3 linked regions of the Nothobranchius furzeri genome follow. The protein of the gene in region 1 purifies or fractionates together with the protein of each later gene. This does not show direct contact. Links are inferred from orthologs where the notes say so. Each region holds a gene or a part of one and is shown in the gene's direction. Other genes may lie near its edges.

What was found. The genes of interacting proteins can lie anywhere in the genome.
Region 2: the proteins of ppp3cca (region 1) and rcan1b purify together in Homo sapiens (affinity purification with mass spectrometry; 3 studies listed by BioGRID and IntAct, counting the BioPlex papers as one, with this or other methods). This does not show direct contact. The link is inferred for Nothobranchius furzeri from reciprocal best matches to the Homo sapiens genes PPP3CC and RCAN1.
Region 3: the proteins of ppp3cca (region 1) and rcan3 purify together in Homo sapiens (affinity purification with mass spectrometry; 3 studies listed by BioGRID and IntAct, counting the BioPlex papers as one, with this or other methods). This does not show direct contact. The link is inferred for Nothobranchius furzeri from reciprocal best matches to the Homo sapiens genes PPP3CC and RCAN3.

The regions. Positions count from the first base shown.
Region 1 is NC_091757.1:27,072,524-27,076,023, reverse strand, and holds part of ppp3cca (protein phosphatase 3, catalytic subunit, gamma isozyme, a), read left to right. Parts: intron 1-1,588; coding exon 1,589-1,734; intron 1,735-1,862; coding exon 1,863-2,002; intron 2,003-3,036; coding exon 3,037-3,114; intron 3,115-3,196; coding exon 3,197-3,291; intron 3,292-3,379; coding exon 3,380-3,500. UniProt on the Homo sapiens protein: Calcium-dependent, calmodulin-stimulated protein phosphatase which plays an essential role in the transduction of intracellular Ca(2+)-mediated signals. Dephosphorylates and activates transcription factor NFATC1.
Region 2 is NC_091743.1:81,115,966-81,120,190, forward strand, and holds the end of rcan1b (calcipressin-1), read left to right. Parts: intron 1-609; exon of another isoform or gene 610-836; coding exon of another isoform or gene 837-923; intron 924-2,146; coding exon 2,147-2,320; intron 2,321-2,531; coding exon 2,532-2,691; intron 2,692-3,314; coding exon 3,315-3,496; 3' UTR 3,497-3,725; downstream 3,726-4,225. UniProt on the Homo sapiens protein: Inhibits calcineurin-dependent transcriptional responses by binding to the catalytic domain of calcineurin A. Could play a role during central nervous system development.
Region 3 is NC_091758.1:28,327,939-28,331,438, forward strand, and holds part of rcan3 (calcipressin-3), read left to right. Parts: intron 1-2,745; coding exon 2,746-2,919; intron 2,920-3,500.

The DNA.
Region 1 (3,500 bases):
GGACAAGGTGATGCGCCCCGCTCCACAGCAGCGAAACGCATCAGGCGCAAATAAAAGACAGAAAACATTAAAGGAAATGAACCGACATGAACGATCGCGTGTCAGTACCGACGCTCTGGCACAGCGCGTTGCCCCCCCCCCCCCCAGCGCAGGAGCTTGTCACCTGCTGACAGCAGGCTGCTGTCTTTTCCGAGGGCTGCATCTTGCCGGTCATTATCAAGTGACAGCGACTAGTCGACGACAGGCATAAAAAGTCACTATAGTGAAGTCGACTAGTTCATACAACCCCTGCTACTGCTCCCCAGAGTGTTCTGCAGCATAATCAGCACGTTCTCTTTGAACTTGATATCAAATTTTCGCCTCCTCTTCGTCTCCGCACGGTTAAAGTTACCCTCGCGGTCTATCACTGGCAAATCAAAAGTGAGACGATGGCACAACCGCCCTCCGTACTTGCTTGTTACCACATTCCACCCGGCCACAATAAGAGACCGGCCATTATTCACCTCCACCGACTCCGACACCGGCCAAAATATGAGACCAGGCAGTTAATTAAATACAGGCCTGTATTAGAGGATTTACGGTAAGCACGTTCTTGGTATCAAAATGAATCTTTAAAATTCACGGACATCATAGTCTGTTTCATTGCTTTGATCTTGGATCTGGAGCAGGAGAACTACTCCAGCTGCTTCTTGAGGGACAGAAGCTCTTTGAGGGCATAGATGGCTGGTGGGAGTGTGTCTACTTGTGTGTGTATGGGGGCTGGTACAAAACTTAAGGACAAGACCCTCCAGACCTGTTGTGAAGTCATGAAGCTTTTTTCAATCATCATTTATGAGAAAGTTGTGTGTGTGTGTGTGTGTGTGTGTGTGTGTGTGTGTGTGTGTGTGTGTGTGTGTGTGTGTGTGTGTGTGTGTGTGTGTGTGTGTGTGTGTGTGTGTGTGTGTGTGTGTGTGTGTGTGTGTGTGTGTACGTCTTCACGATGTTGCCTCTCGTCAGTGCCGCCTGCACTAGCTTGATAAGCAGCCTGTTTTCGCTCATGCTTTTCTTTTTCTTCACTTGAAAATAAGTAAATTTATAAAAGAGAATAATGTGCAGACTTTTCTTTCACCCATTCCTGGAGGTACTGCTGCGTTTTAATCTACTCTTTATATGAAATATACAAACATTCTATGTGGTAAAAACAATCTTTATTTTAGTGCGTCTCCTCTCAGCCTCACAGTTCATTGGTGGGTCACTGTGCTTTTTAATCCTAGTAATAATGTTTGTAAAATTCAGACTAAGGTAGATTTTTGTTTTAGAGCGTTTTCACATCATTGGTAGGGTCGCATGAATTTTTTTAATCAGACTTAATTTTATGATTTTTATCTTGTTGTCCACTTGTATGGTTTCTCAACATCTTGTGAGTTTATTTTCAAATATTAAAAAAAGTACAAATAAATACAGAAAATGTTTTTTCAGTTCAAGAGAGCAAAAATATTAGTTTGGACCTAAAAGCCCTCGGCTAACGTGTTTAGCTGTCGCTGGCTAACAGGCTAACTAACGCTAGCCCACAGTGCTGAGTCTTGTTTTCTCCATGTTTGTGTTTCAGGTAAAATCAAATATTCTGAGCGGGTTTATGACGCCTGTATGGAAGCCTTTGACTGCCTGCCCCTCGCCGCTCTGCTTAACCAGCAGTTCCTGTGTGTACACGGGGGGCTCTCACCAGAAATAAACTGCTTAGATGACATAAGAAAGGTCAGTGATTCACTCACTCTTTCCTTTCGTGTGTTCCTTATGAATCGAGTGTTTTCTAACATTTGATTACCCAGTTATCTTCTGTATGTAACTTTCCATTGCTCTGCTGTCCCGTCTGTGTTTAACAGTTAGACAGATTTAAAGAGCCGCCAGCATTTGGGCCCATGTGTGACCTGATTTGGGCTGACCCCGGTGAGGACTACGGCAGTGAAAAAACATCTGAACACTTCAACCATAATTCTGTTAGAGGCTGCTCCTACTTTTTCAGGTATTGGGTCAGACCTCTGATTTTAGAGCCCTACTACCTTCTGATTTTCTAAATGAAGTTCAGAACAGCCCGTGGGACTTTTGAAGACTGCATTTGGTTGTTTTACTGTAGAGTTCTGAGTATTTTTCTCATTAAACTATTGTAATGAATAATGGGTTTGGTGCTGACTAAAACCTTCAACTAACCACCGAGAGGTCGCTGGTTCACAATAGAAAGTCTTTTTATTAAAGCACAGCACAATAATCCCGCTGCACCAATAAAACTATCCCTCCACCAGAGCTCCACGTCTGCTTATAGACGACTGTTCTCCAAACAACGAGCGTTCTCCTCACCGGTCTTGTAGATCATTCTCGCGTTCATCCACACCTGATCAACTCCGCCTCCTTCACATCACACTATTTGAACAGTTCAGTTGTTTAAAGGAGACTTATCAGAGCTTTTCTTCTAGTTCTAATGTTGATACAAAACATGCTTATGTAGTGCTTTGCAGTAAATCACTCTCATACAGTTATTTTATTCATGATATTTTTAGGACCTTCCAGAATGAGTCGTTTCAGAGCTCAGTTACTTTAAGAAAACAAGCTACATCTGGACACGCCCACCGACAAGAGCAAGTTATGTGTTAAGCGAGTTTTTAAGAACATTTTAAACCAAATGAGTGAAATGTTGTTGTTTTTTTTAATCAGTAATGTGTCCCAGTTTACAGTAAAAAAACATCTCATTAATCTAAGGCTGTCATTATGATGCACCTAAACTTGTGCCTATCCATTCATTTTTAACATTGGTCTAGAATAATCCAGTCCAGGTTTGAAAAGTCTTGGTCAGTGGTCCTCAATAGGCGACCCGCGGGCTCCCTCTTTGTGGCCCCTGAACCCCGCGCGCACCCCACGCATGAATTTTTGTCCCAGTTTGCCCCTGAACAAATCCCACACTGGTTACCTTTATAATGAGACCAAAGGAATCAAATAGACCTGGTTACAGAAATATACTCAGTAACGTGTGGGTCTGTTATCTGTGCTTCACTGTGTTTGCAGTTATTCAGCCGTCTGTGACTTTTTGGTAAATAACAACTTGCTTTCAGTAATAAGAGCCCATGAAGCTCAGGATGCTGGGTAAGTGTTATAATGGTTGTTCATTTAAAGCATTTTACAGTTTCGGGACTAATAATCATGTTTAAATTTTGTTGCTGTGCAGGTATCGGATGTACAGAAAAAGCCAGACCACAGGGTTCCCTTCATTAATTACTATATTTTCAGCTCCCAATTACCTAGATGTCTACAACAATAAAGGTTATCAGCGTTTTTCCTGTTTTTATATAAATATCTAAGCATGAGATAAGATCCCACCCCTGAAATCCCCCGTTTTTGTCATTTCCAGCTGCTGTATTAAAATATGAGAACAACGTGATGAACATCCGACAGTTCAACTGCTCCCCCCACCCCTACTGGTTACCCAACTTCATGGATGTCTTCACGTGGTCTTTGCCTTTTGTTGGAGA
Region 2 (4,225 bases), on another chromosome or scaffold:
CTTTTAGTTGCTGACCTCACACTCGGGTCAGAGTTTTAGTTTTGTTTTTTGTTTTTTTCTTCAATGGAAAATTCAGAGACGCTCAGAGGCACAAAGGATTTATTTTTAAACGCGGCAAGGAACAGATGATGGAGTCATTTGACTCTGATGTCATCATTCTTCATTATTTCTCTCACACTTACCCTTGTTTCTATGTGATTCGTCAGCGTTGGTCGGTGGAAGGAATAAAAAACGCCCCTCCCTCCCCCTGTATGTATATATATAAAACAGGCTGTCAGTGAATGGGCATGAGGAAGGCTGGGAGGAAGGAAAGGGGGAGGGGGCTGGTGCCAATGCGTCATCGTCCTCATTTGAATGGCTGTAAAGCAGAATGAGAGAGGGAAGCTTAGAGGAAGCTGAATGACATTTTCAGCTTTCCACACCCAATTCTCTGGAACATTCCTTCATTCTGCATTCTCACACTGAGCTGACTTTCTGAGAGTGTCTGGAGGAGGCTGACAGACGAAGATCGGACTGTAAGAGCTGATTCAGACTCGGTAACCTTGACATCGGGATTAGGAGGCTTTCTGTTTCCAGACTTGTATGTTTCACATTGTGTTCCTTGTGAGGACCGAGAAGATGTGCTCCTAGAGAACAAGATCCAGGAAATAAAACGGATATATTTTAACTTTAGAAGCTTCAATCCCTTTCTGCTTCTCCACCACCCTGGGGAAGGCAACGCTCCCCCGTCTTGACCTCCGTCCTCTTTACCTCTGCTGAAGAGCCTCTTAGCATCCCGTCGGGCCTTGACCTCCGATATCAGGTGGAAACGTTTTTTTCTTCCTGGATCACCGGCCATGCATATTAAGACCAGCAAGTGTAACCGCTTCTGCCTGGTAGCATCCCTGACCAGTCGGGAAGTGTTCCATCGACACGAGGCACAGGTAAGTACAGGACCTCCTGCCTGAGTGAGGAGGAAGTTGAATATGGAATAGCTAAAATACCTATTGTGTCCATAGAGCAGTGATGTTTTTGACTCTAGTGGTCCAAATCCTGGACACTGTACTGCAGATTCCCTCAATCCAGGCTCATCCATGTCTCCATGGTCCTTCAGAGCTCTAACAAATTAGTCGTTAGTGTACAAAAAAACCAGCAATGCCCCTATTTTGCAAGATATTGGTATTTGGGTCTGTACTGGTTAGACTTAAATGAGTTACACCAAGGTCTATAGCCCTCGGGTCATAAACTGTGAGTAAGTATATTGGTCTTTTTATACTAGGAATCAGGAGTTATTTTAGTGATCATCTTGATTCTCATTTATTTTTGTCCTGATTGTGCCATGAGCAAATTTATGAGCGAATAAAAACAAATAAAATCAACATTAATTGAGAAATCGTCTTAAATAATCGAGATCTCAATTTCAGTCACAATAATCGTGATTATTATTTTTGCTATAATCGAGCAGCCCTAATCTATCGGTTTTATAAGTAAAAATGGACCAACATGAACAAATTTGTATTTTTCCACCCAGTGGCTTGTGTAGGTTGTGTGTCTGATTCAGGAAGGTAGGGTGGTGGTCATGTGACAGCGATAGTAATAATCTCAGAAGCATAAGTGTGTGTTTATGTTATAATATATGAATATCTTATATATATATATATAATGTGTGTGTGTGTGTGTGTGTGTGTGTGTGTGTGTGTGTGTGTGTGTGTGTGTAGTGTTCAGCCATTGGCTCATATTTTCACATCCCGATTTACCTCTTTTGAATAAAATCCGTTCTGTGACTCATGACATATTTTTGCTCATGGAAATTTAAATGGGTGAAGCTCGATTGCATTTTGTTTGGTGGTGATGGAAAATAAACAGGATTAAATGGATCATTTGGATCTTTAGAAGAGGGTTTCCATGGAAATGTTAAGAATATCTGTTGCAGATGCTGGATCTGACTAGAGCGGTGAGCTAAAAGCCAATCTCACTACAATTAAGTCCTATCTAATAATTAACTATCATTTTGTGAAGGTGCTAATGTATAAAGACTTACTCCACTGTTGATTTAGTTTAGTTGAGCATTGTTTAGTCTTTTGATAGTTGTGATTCACTTCAGCTTTAGCCAGCAGCTCCTTTCCTCCTCATCTAACTGTTGTCGGACCTCTTGTCTTGTCTCCAGGTCAGTTTTGAGTCCTTGTTCCGTTCCTTCGACCCAGAAGTGCAGTTCCACTACTTCCGGTCCTTCCGGCGTGTCAGGATCAGCTTCAGCGACCCACTAGCAGCAGCTGAGGCCAGACTTAGACTGAACAAGTCTGACTTCAGAGGAAAAGAGCTGAGGCTTTACTTTGCTCAGGTAAAGTCAGAATAAAAGTCCTGTGGGTCACGCCCACTCCTTAATCCTTTTACTGATTGTGTGATCGTTTGTGTTTGTAACCAGTTAGTTATTATTTACAAGATACAATTTAGCTTTGTTGTTGAGCTCTTTATAGCTTCTATAGGTTTCTGATTGGTCTCCCTTTCCTGATCTGTTGTCTCAAACATAATCTGGCGCTTCTGTCTTCCAGTCCGTTCACATTGGGAGTCCTCGTCTGGAACCTCCCAAACCAGAGAAGCAGTTCCTCATCTCCCCACCTGCCTCTCCTCCAGTCGGCTGGGAGCAGTCTCAGGATGCTACACCGGTGATCAACTATGACCTTCTGTGTGCCATCTCCAAACTAGGACCAGGTACGGCACATGGCAGATCAGGGTTTCAGTTAGGAACTCAAACCCTTTCATCAGAGCGCCCGACTCTGTCTCGGTTACAGAACAGAACCTTTGATGTGGTTTAGACTCTTCTGAATGTCTAAAGGAGGTTCTACTTGTTGTTGCATTAGTGTGATGGACGATGTCCTTCCTTTTTCAGTTAACAACCATGACCTGCTGTGTGTTTATACATTTAAGGTTAGATAAAGTATAAATGAAGGGCGGACTGAAAACTCGAGGTCCTTCCTCTGGTGGATGGGTCTAATTGTCTCAAGGTCTTGCTCCTGAGTCTGCGGGGGCTGCTACCCCCGGGACCCAGACCCAGCTAGGAAGAGGACAAAAAGGTGGATTTAAATAATTGTAGAACCTGGCAAAGTCCAGATGAATGTTCCTCTTAAATCCACTTCAGCCTCAGAAACTAGTTGGCTCTCCAAACCTTTTTTAACTCGCTTGGACTCACAAAAGAGTGTTACGAGCACCATCTAGTGGACATCTCAGGGTTCCAGTCAGAGCCGTCAGCTCTGTTGGTCATAGTTTCTTGAGTTTGAAGTGTTCATAGAAGCGACTTCTCCTCTGTGTAAATCCCCCTGCATTTTGACCTTTAGGGGAAACGTATGAGCTTCACACTGCCACGCCCACTACTCCCAGCGTGGTCGTCCATGTGTGTGAGGACGACGAGCACGATGACGGTTCAGCGCCCAGCGACCAGGACGAGACGGCCCGCCCACCTCGGCCAAAGATCATGCAGACCCGACGCCCCGACTACACACCCGGAGTGGAGCAGTGAGCAGGCTGCACTGGGACAACTGGAGAAACTGGTCATGAACAGAATGAGCTCACAGATGTTCTGAGACGGGGTTTTAAAACCACCCGAGGAGGCTGGAGTGTCCTGTAGACGAGCATTTCATAGTAGAACACAAATGTCGTGGGAAATCCATAACCACTGGAAGAATTTAGCCATCAGATAACATGTAGTGTTTAAGACATTAAGTTGAATCGAACGTGTAAAACTGCCTGAGCGGATATTTATTCTCCACTGCTCTTTCGAAAATAGCTCAAGTTTTTGGTGACATTTAAAAGAAAACTGACCACGATCAAGTGGTTTCCTTATGAAGTCCTGAAAGGAGAACTTGCTGTGTGTTTTTGGTGTGCCACAGATGAGTAGAAGCTGATGAGCTCCCACTGACCTGATGCTTTGATCTCATGAATGAAATCATTCTGGCCCTGCTGCTCCTGACCTATCACAACGGTCTTCATACATAAACATCTCTGGCCTGAGCAGAGAGCACTCCTCTGACTGTGCTGTTTGAGGTTTGTTGTAGTTTGACTTTCTATAAGAAAATGTGGGGCGCAAGTCCCTCAGTTTAAGTGTGTTACATAGTATTGAGTCAGTATTTAACCATTTAAAGCCTGAGACAGGAAATCATCAGAAAAGGATTTAAGGAGGCCTGATGTTTATTGGCTAAGGGCTCTGCTCCTGAATAACTTTTTTCGCCACCAAACCAGTTCCACTCAG
Region 3 (3,500 bases), on another chromosome or scaffold:
GATGCCTCATGGACACCTTCCTGGTGAGGTTTTCCTTACACCTCCAACCAGGAGGAGACCTAAAGGAAGACCCAGGACACGCTGGAGGGACTATGTGTTTTGGTTGGCCAGGGAACGCCTTGGGATTCCCTCGGAGGAGCTGGCCCAGGTGGCTTAGGCTGTTGCTCTCGCGACCCGACTTTGGATAAGCAGATGAAAATGGATGGCTTAGTTCCAGTGCTGCTACAGAGAAAAACTACAAAGACGGCACATGTTTGAAACGGCTTTGGCATCAACTTTGGATGATTTAGACTTTGAGACACGAGCAGATATAAGTACTTAAGTCCTTCACATGGAAGAAAAGATGTATTTGTTTCTTTTTCTTCGACGTGGATGGCAGACTGCCTTGTTGACTGATTTCTGCAATAACGAATATGTCACGTTTTTTTTGTTGCTCTGATTGGTGTTAGTGGTGTCCAACAGCATGCAGAAACAGTTTGAAGGACAACTGTAGATTCTGCCCCACGACTGAGTTCTGTCTGCGGGACTCGTGAGCAGGCTGGATGTTCTCAAGTAAATGAAAAGCTAAATAAATAAAAGCTGATAGTCGTAAAGTCTTTCCTCCTTTTTGTTTTAGAATAAATACATTTAGGATATTATTGTATGTTTTAGTTTAGTTCTCTCTCTGTTGCCATACAGACTTTTTTAGGCCCAGTAAAACATTGTGGCTGCGTCTCTGCTCGTCATTAACTCACACTGAACCAGTGCCACTATGGAACCCATTAGCCATCAATCTGGGCTGTTGAGCGAGTGGTAAATTTGCTACTGGCAAAAAAAGTTATGAGGATATTTGTAACACTTGAGCACTGTTTTGTTTTTATTGTTTTGCAGCAGCATGAGGAGGAAATTAAAACTAACAGGAAAAGAACAACAAAGACTACTCAGGAGCGTCAAATAGGTGGTGCAAGAATCTGGCGATACGATATAAATCACAATACGGGGGAAATACAGGGGAGACAATACGATATATGACGATACTAAAAGCCAGACAATATTTGCGATTTTTAAATCAGAATTTCACTGGAAAACTCAGTCTTCCAACAAGACACATATAGCCTGGCCTGCCAGACTCGTCCTCTGTTTAATTCTGCACAGAGACAGAGTCTGGTAACTCACAGGCAGAGAGGCACTTGAGGGGCGGGACTAGGCAGCTCAGAAATAACCAATCAGATAAAAGACGGAAATGCCGACTGTACCGCGCGACGCTGCAGTATTTTTAGCTGCAGTAAAAACAGGCGTCTGGCAAACATCTTTTTTTTTTTTTTTTTAGAAGAAATGCTTTTAGTGCTTCCACTTGTTGCTTTAAAGACATTCAAGTCCTTTAGAACAGAGAAAAGAGCCGCAGCGAACGTCGCCGCTGTCTTCGTTGTTTATGAGAAACTGAGCATCGCTGTGTGTGACGTCCGCGACGCTGTAGCTTTTCAGCTGTAGTCAAAAATGGCGTCTGGCGACAGCGCAAACATATTTCTTTAGAAGAAATGCTTTTAGCGCTTCTACTTGTTGTTTTAAAGACGTGTCCAAGTCATTTAGAACAGAGGAAAGAGCCGCAGCGAACTCTGCTTCAGTCACCATGTTTATGACAAACTCGGCATCGTGGTGTGTGACGTACGCTACTCAGCGCTGATTGGCTCGGTTAGAATTCTCAGGGGGTGGGGTTATTTGAATGAGAACTTTAGATCATTTTCCATTGAATTGAATCACCACGATGGGCAACATTACGCTTGTTTTTGCAGCTTTTTATTTTTAATTTTTTTACTTCAGTACCTAACATTAACTAAAAGTGCACAGTGCTGACAGAGCACTGGGACGAGGCCTAGTACTTGGCTCTGTGTGACGAGTCGACAGATTCCTACCATCTCCTGTCACCGTGCTGTCACTACTCCACACAGGTGCATGTTGACGTGCTGCCTGTGCTCCAGGCTCCTTCGGGTGCTCTTTCCATCCTGATGAGAGCTGCTGTCTCAGCTGATCAGGGGGAAGTGTTTTTAGTTTCAGAAAAGGGAGTTGTGGCCAGATAAAAAGTTACCTCAGAGTAACAGGATTAGAGGCTGATCTCTGAGCAGTGGGTACCAATTGACATCAGCACCAGGTCAGGAGGAGCACGGGTGAATTAAAAGGAAAGGAACACTTGTGCAAACTTCTACTTATTTGCTAATTATGTTGGAGAAGCTGTTGATCCTTCCTCTTTTCAGAAAGGCACATCCAGTCCATCGCTCGTCTTTATTCTTAGAATGAAGCCTCCTTCTCTAGCGGGTTGCACCCGCTGCTGGGAGATGGTCGACAAAGAAACAAAGAAAACGCTACTCATTTCTCAGAAATCAGCTCTCCTGGTGGCTGCTTTCCTGCTGAGGTGCTTGATTGAGTTCACAGTAGAAGTTGCCAGTTTGGTACCTAAGCAGAGGGCTGACTTCAAAGTAAAGAGAAAAAAAAAGATGAAACCTAAAGTAAAAGCTGGGGATGAGCCGAAAGAGAGGAGAGGTTTTTAATAAGGTCAGAACTAAGGGGCAAAAGGTCTGTGAGTCAAAGCTGCACATCAAATTTCTTCATCAAGTTAATCACATACTGAGAGGGTGAGGAGAGGAGTGCTGTGTTGCAGCGGCCGAGGTGTCCGAACGTCTTCAGTCACATTTAAGATCAAATGTGTGGCGTGTTTTAGCGAAGAGTGTGCAGCTGCTGATGGTCTCTTTATGTCTTCATTTTCCACAGGAGAGGTTTGAAGCCTTGTTTAGGATCTACGATGAGCAGGTGACTTTCCAGATGTTCAAGAGCTTCAGGAGAGTCCGGATCAACTTCAGCACTCCCGAGGCGGCCGCTCGAGCCCGCATCGAGCTGCACGAGTCAGAGTTCAACGGCAAGAAGTTAAAACTCTACTTTGCCCAAGTGAGTTTCTACGATCAAGGGGAAAGCACAGAATTAAAGCTCTGCGGCGTTCTCGCTAACATGCACTCGGCATGGGGCCATGGCCAACCCTGGAAGATTTCTGGCCACCCCACCAATACTCTTCAGTAAATCATAATCATGTTCACACAAAACATATTACTCTTATCAAGACAAATGTGAAAGTTAATAAATAAAATGTATATCTATTGAGTAAATAAATCACAATTTAAATAAATGTTGCAGAGGCTCACCACTTCAATAGTTTTTGTGTATTCTTTTAAGACCACAACAGTGATTTAAACCATTCTAAAACACTAAAACAATACATTTTGAAACAATAAATAAAATGATTCATGTATTTTTTCTGAAATGTTTGGGTTTCTCAAATTGTCAGTCAATGAGTTGCAATGCTTACACATACATGCTTGACAAGTAATTAAAATTGCGCCCACATTTTCGGAGTTAACACACATCTCTTCAGTGGCGGAGTGGTAATCTGGAAAAACGGGAGATTTCCCGGTGGCCTGGCCGTTAAACTGGCCCACTCAGTAATTGCCGGTCATGACTAGCGTAATATCTAA